Macaca mulatta: one gene and its partner. The protein of the gene in region 2 purifies or fractionates together with the protein of the main gene of each other region. This does not show direct contact. Links are inferred from orthologs where the notes say so. Each region holds a gene or a part of one and is shown on either strand. Other genes may lie near its edges.

Evidence for each region. Proteins that work in one complex are often made in the same cells at the same time.
Region 1: the proteins of RHOA (region 2) and CTSA purify together in Homo sapiens (co-immunoprecipitation; 4 studies listed by BioGRID and IntAct, counting the BioPlex papers as one, with this or other methods). This does not show direct contact. The link is inferred for Macaca mulatta from reciprocal best matches to the Homo sapiens genes RHOA and CTSA.

What each region holds. Positions count from the first base shown.
Region 1 is NC_133415.1:98,684,296-98,688,305, forward strand, and holds the start of CTSA (lysosomal protective protein precursor), read left to right. Parts: upstream 1-1,191; 5' UTR 1,192-1,234; exon of another isoform or gene 1,235-1,304; intron 1,305-1,423; coding exon 1,424-1,605; intron 1,606-1,759; coding exon 1,760-1,871; intron 1,872-2,116; coding exon 2,117-2,167; intron 2,168-2,250; coding exon 2,251-2,337; intron 2,338-2,575; coding exon 2,576-2,731; intron 2,732-3,068; coding exon 3,069-3,160; intron 3,161-3,840; coding exon 3,841-3,925; intron 3,926-4,010. Other genes in the region: NEURL2 (neuralized-like protein 2), read right to left, coding at 102-843. UniProt on the Homo sapiens protein: Protective protein appears to be essential for both the activity of beta-galactosidase and neuraminidase, it associates with these enzymes and exerts a protective function necessary for their stability and activity.
Region 2 is NC_133407.1:112,801,256-112,803,624, reverse strand, and holds the end of RHOA (transforming protein RhoA), read left to right. Parts: intron 1-369; exon of another isoform or gene 370-579; coding exon 580-753; 3' UTR 754-1,825; downstream 1,826-2,369. UniProt on the Homo sapiens protein: Small GTPase which cycles between an active GTP-bound and an inactive GDP-bound state.

The DNA of each region.
Region 1 (4,010 bases), on a different chromosome or scaffold from region 2:
CTAGTGCTGGACAGACGGAGGCCTAGCACACTGGTTACGAGCCCTAGCAGATTCCTGTCCCCACATTGCGCCAGGAGGGGTCGCTGCCCAGGGATACCTACAGCCATACTCGAGCTGGACAAGGCGCACGCTCTTGGTGGAAGCAAACACGTCCACCACCGCGTAGAGGGGCTGCGCAGCTGGCAGCCCCCGGGCGCTGGGGCCCATGTCCTCGCCGTTGATGATGATGTGCATGTCGGCCGTGCCATCGGGGCGCGGGCAGAAGAGGACGCCCAGGCGGCTACGGCGCGCCGTCGGAGGCAGCACGTTCAGCTCATAGAGCTGGTCCAAGAGATGGCTGTAGAGCCCTGGCCGACTGCGGCCCACCAGGCGGTCCCGGGGAATGCGAAACTGCTCAATGCGCAGATATGGTTCCACCAGGAGGGTTGGAGGTCGGCTGGGGGCCGCTGCCTCGGCCTCCGGGCGGCCCTCCCGGGGCACGCGGTTGTGGTGGCGCGTGATGGCGAAGACCCAGGTGTGGCCCAGGTTGACTAGGTCGGGCAGAGAAAACTCGGGAACGGGGGCCAGACTGGCGGGGTCCAGCGCCGTCAGACCGAGACGCAGATGTCCGCACCAGCCCAGCTCTTTCTCTTCGATCTCGACCAGGAAGACTTGGCCCGGGGCCAGGGGCTCACGGCTGAAGCACACGCCGTGGGCGAAGCTCTCCACGCGTGTGGCCCGCGTCCCAGAGGGGTCCACGCGGATGTTGTCACCGTGCACCCAATGGAAGCGGGTGGGAGGGGGCTCCGGGCGCGCAGGTCCCCAGAGTGCACCCGAATCCACGGGCTCGGAGGCAGCAGCCATCTCTCCGCCATAAGGCAGGCTGGCGGGCGCCGGGGGCTATTTTGGGCGGCGGGCTCAGATGGTGACCGCAAGGGGACCTTGTAAGGCATTTCCCCCCTGCCTCCCTTCCCCGAGCCTCTGCCCGGGGGTCCTAGCGCCGCTTGCTCAGCCATCCCTCCTAGAACTTGGCCATCCACACCCGGATCATCTGATCGCGTGCTCCCGGGCTACGATCCGCGAGGCCCGCGGACCTTGACCTGGCATTGACCGCCACCGCCCCCCAGGCCGGTAGGGACCAAAGAAGGGGCGGGAGGAAGACTGTCACGTGGCGCCGGAGTTCACGTGACTCGGAGTACACATGACTTCCAGTCCCCGGGCGCCTCCTGGAGAGCAAGGACACGGGGGAGCAGAGGTGAGCTGGCACCGGAGGCTGGAGGGGATCCCCGAGCCCGGGATCGGTGCGCGGTAGAGGAAGCTTGAGGGTGGGAGCTGGCGCTGGGGCCGGGGCTTCCCTCGCGGAGGCGCCGCCAGCTCCTCCCCGGGTGCTGCTTCACGGAAGCGCTGAGGAGCGAGGCAACAGCCCCTCTTCTGCCTCCCGTAGATGATCCGAGCCGCGCCGCCGCTGCTGTTCCTGCTGCTGCTGCTAGTGTCCTGGGCGCCCCGAGGCGAGGCAGCCCCGGACCAGGACGAGATCCAGCGCCTCCCCGGGCTGGCCAAGCAGCCGTCCTTCCGCCAGTACTCCGGCTACCTCAAAGGCTCCGGCTCCAAGCACCTCCACTACTGGTCTGCCGCCCTGCCTCCCGGGCGGGACTGGGAGGAGAGATGACGGATGAGGGGTGGGGGGTAGTTCTGCAGACCCCTGAGGACGCCTGGGAGCCGGGAGGGCCGGAAAGGACCCCTGCAACTGCACCAACACTGCCCTGACACCCCTTCCCAGGTTTGTGGAGTCCCAGAAGGATCCCGAGAACAGCCCTGTGGTGCTTTGGCTCAATGGGGGTCCCGGCTGCAGCTCCCTAGATGGGCTCCTCACAGAGCATGGCCCCTTCCTGGTGAGTGGACAGCAGGGGTAAAGCACAGTTCCTAAAGCAAAAGGCTGGGGAAAGGGAGAAACGGACTTTGTGATTTACCAGAAAGTTTCCTTCCTTCTAAGTCTTGGGATTTTCCTCTATGCCATTGGCTTTGCTGCTTGTACCTCTCAGGGGTTTTGCCCACATGTAAAGTGCCTCTCACGGTGGCCCTTTCCTTCCACCCAGCTGGCCCTTGGGACTTACTCAGCCATCTCTTTCCTCCTCAGGTCCAGCCAGATGGTGTCACCCTGGAGTACAACCCCTATTCTTGGAATCTGGTATAGCTGGAGCTGTGGGTCCTGTGGGGGTGTCTGGGCACTTGGATGGAGTGGCAGTTGACTAATTTTTCCCTCCCTTCTAGATTGCTAATGTGTTATACCTGGAGTCCCCAGCTGGGGTGGGCTTCTCCTACTCTGATGACAAGTTTTATGCAACTAATGACACTGAGGTGAGTCTGGTGCCTGCCCATCTGCCCCAGGCTCCCCAGTCCTCCATCCATGGCATGATGCTGGGAGAGAGAGCATGGCCTTGGAGTCCACTTTTCGCTCTGTCATATGCTTGTGGTATGGTGGCCAGTCACTTCCTCTTACACAGACAGGGTGGGTTGATGTCATTATCTCTGAAGTTCTTTCCAGTTCAAATACCAAAGCTTCCTGATTCCCTCTGTCTTGCTCCCCCATCCCCAGGTCGCCCAGAGCAATTTTGAGGCCCTTCAAGATTTCTTCCACCTCTTTCCGGAGTATAAGAACAACAAACTTTTCCTGACCGGGGAGAGCTATGCTGGCATCTACATCCCCACCCTGGCCGTGCTGGTCATGCAGGACCCCAGCATGAACCTTCAGGTGCAGGGCAGCTGCAGGAGGGAAGGGAGGCACCTTGAGGCTGTGGCCTTGCAGTTAGCAAGGTCAGACTGGTCAACAGCCCCATCCAACCCAGCTCCCTGCATACCCTCCCCACCACCAGCTGCCCTAGGTCTGTCTAGTGTGCCTCCCACAACAGGAAACTCATCTGTCAGGCTGCCAGCTCTGTGCTTTGCATTGAGTGACTTTCCACACCCAACCGCCCCCATAAACCACCCTGGGTTTCAGCTTCCGGATTGCTGAAGGTCTGGGTGTTAGGGTGAGGGAGGCTCCTCCTCTTCGCCCTCCACATGAGCTGAGCACCCTGGGTGTTTCACAGGGGCTGGCTGTGGGCAATGGACTCTCCTCCTATGAGCAGAATGACAACTCCCTGGTCTACTTTGCCTACTACCATGGCCTTCTGGGGAACAGGTATGGGATAGGGCAATTGGGCAATCTCTAGGGTCACATGATCTCGAGTCTGTCCTCCAGGCACATGATATGACAGGCCCAGCCCAGGTTTATGAGCAGCAGGTGGGTTGCAGAAAGAACACAGTGCTGAAAGGCCAAAGAATAGAGATCAGATTTTTCTTTTTTTTCTTTTTTTTTTTTTTGAGACAGAGTCTCACTTTGTCATCCAGGCTAGAGTGCAGTGGCGCGATCTTAGCTCACTGTAACCTCCACCTCCCAGGTTCAAGCAATTCTTGTGCCTCAGCATCCCAAGCAGCTGGGACTACAGGCACGTACCACCACACCTGCTTAATTTTTTTGTATTTTTAGTACAGATGGCATTTTGCTGTTGGCCAGGCTAGACGCGAACTCCTGGCCTCAAATGATCTGCCCGCCTTGGCTTCCCAAAGTGCTGGGATTACAGGCGTGAGCCACGGCGCCCAGCCAGAGATCAGATTTTAAAGGAACTAAGGAGGCCTGTCTGTATGACCCTGGGGCACCTCTTTGGGAGCTAGCTTAGGTGACGTGCAGACCATACCCTGTGATACCTTTCCTAGTCTCCTAGGGTCAGGGAGGTTGGTGGGAGGTGGGGGTATGCTCGCCTCCTCTGCCCTCCTCTTCCCACCAGAGGCTGATGCACTTTTCACTCTCATCTCCTACAGGCTTTGGTCTTCTCTCCAGACCCACTGCTGCTCTCAAAACAAGTGTAACTTCTATGACAACAAAGACCCGGAATGCGTGACCAATGTGAGGTTCTGCCGTCACTCTGCATCAGCCCTCCCATCCCTAATCCCAAGAATGGGACCACATTCCCTCCTTGGGGACTCCTTGT
Region 2 (2,369 bases):
CGTTTCTACTAAAAATACAAAAAATTAGCTGGGTGTGGTGGCGGGCGCCTGTAGTCCCAGCTACTCAGGAGGCTGAGGCAGGAGAATGGCGTGAACCCGGGAGGCAGAGGTTGCAGTGAGCCGAGATTGCGCCACTGTACTCCAGCCTGGGCGACAGAGCCAGACTTTGTCTCAAAAAAAAAAAAAAAGTCTTTTTTTAAGACTGGGCACAGTGGCTCATGCCTGTAATTCCAGCTCTTTGGGAGGCCGGGGTGGGCAGATCACGTGGTCAGGAGTTCGAGACCAGTCTGGCCAAACTGGTGAAACCCCCATCTCTACTAAAAAATTAGCTGGGTGTGGTGGTGGGCACCTGTAGTCCCAGCCACTCAGGAGGCTGAGGCAGGAGAATCGCTTGAACCCAGGAGATGGAGGTTGCAGTGAGCTGAGATCATACCATTGCAGCCCAGCCTGGGCGACTGACAAGAGTAAAACTGTTGCAAAACAAGAAAAAAAAAGTCTTTAAGCTGAATTTGAATACTCTTTACTTACTATATGTATGCCACACTATTAGCTAAAAGGACTGTTTTTTCTTTTTGCTAGGAGCCGGTGAAACCTGAAGAAGGCAGAGATATGGCAAACAGGATTGGTGCTTTTGGGTACATGGAGTGTTCAGCAAAGACCAAAGATGGAGTGAGAGAGGTTTTTGAAATGGCTACGAGAGCTGCTCTGCAAGCTAGACGTGGGAAGAAAAAATCTGGGTGCCTTGTCTTGTGAAACCTTGCTGCAAGCACAGCCCTTATGCGGTTAATTTTGAAGTGCTGTTTATTAATCTTAGTGTATGATTACTGGCCTTTTTCATTTATCTATAATTTACCTAAGATTACAAATCAGAAGTCATCTTGCTACCAGTATTTAGAAGCCAACTATGATTATTAATGATGTCCAACCCGTCTGGCCCACCAGGGTCCTTTTGACACTGCTCTAACAGCCCTCCTCTGCACTCCCACCTGACACACCAGGCGCTAATTCAAGGAATTTCTTAACTTCTTGCTTCTTTCTAGAAAGAGAAACAGTTGGTAACTTTTGTGAATTAGGCTGTAACTACTTTATAACTAACATGTCCTGCCTATTATCTGTCAGCTGCAAGGTACTCTGGTGAGTCACCACTTCAGGGCTTTACTCATTAACAGATTTTGTTGGCATAGCTCTGGGGTGGGCAGTTTTTTGAAAATGGGCTCAACCAGAAAAGCCCAAGTTCATGCAGCTGTGGCAGAGTTACAGTTCTGTGGTTTCATGTTAGTTACCTTATAGTTACTGTGTAATTAGTGCCACTTAATGTATGTTACCAAAAATAAATATATCTACCCCAGACTAGATGTAGTATTTTTTGTATAATTGGATTTCCTAATACTGATATTTGTCATCCCCAAAGAAAGTGTATTGGTTTTTTAAAAAAGAAAGTGTATTTGGAAATAAAGTCAGATGGAAAATTCATTTTTTAAATTCCCGTTTTGTCACTTTTTCTGATAAAAGATGGCCATATTACCCCTTTTCGGCCCCATGTATCTCAGTACCCCTATCTGGAGCTGGGCTAAGTAAATAGGAATTGGTTTCACGCCTGAGGCAATTAGACACTTTGGAAGGTGGCATAACCTGTCTCACCTGGACTTCAGCATCTGGCTCTAATTCACAGTGCTCTTCTCCTCACTGTATCCAGGTTCCCTCCCAGAGGAGCCACCAGTTCTCATAGGTGGCACTCAGTCTCTCTTCTCTCCAGCTGACTAAACTTTTTTTCTGTACCAGTTAATTTTTCCAACTACTAATAGAATAAAGGCAGTTTTCTAAACTTCGTGTATCCTGTTGTTTGTGTTGCTCTCTCCAGGGCTGGGGGCAGGAGGATGCAAGGACTTCCTGGCCTAGCTCACCCTGGAGAGGTTTGTTCAGGGTGCAAAAGACTAGGTTGTGCCCCACCTCCCACCTACCCAGCAGCTAATCTGGTCCCTCCCAACAACATGGAAATGATTACCCTGTACCGCATTCTAGTTCAGATTTGGGGGGAGGGTGAATGCAGCCTACTGAGGAGGCCAGAGAGGGAGGACTCAGGCCGCGTTTCCTTGGCCCTGACGAGCTCTTGGGCTCCACTTCAGGAAGCTGGGGCAGAGCTTCCAGGACTCTGCCCTGTTAGAAAACCCGCGCAAGGGCGGTGCCGCTTTGGAGACAGGGAGGAGGGAGACCGGAAGCCCATATCCCTCTGGCTGTCCCCTGCACTGCCGGTAACATGGCACAGGAGAGGAGGGCTGTTTGCGCACCGGCAGCTGCTGCCGCCGCCCACCAGCCTTCTATGCCGAACCCCACATCCTAATTGAGGAGCCTTTGAGAAAGAAAACGGA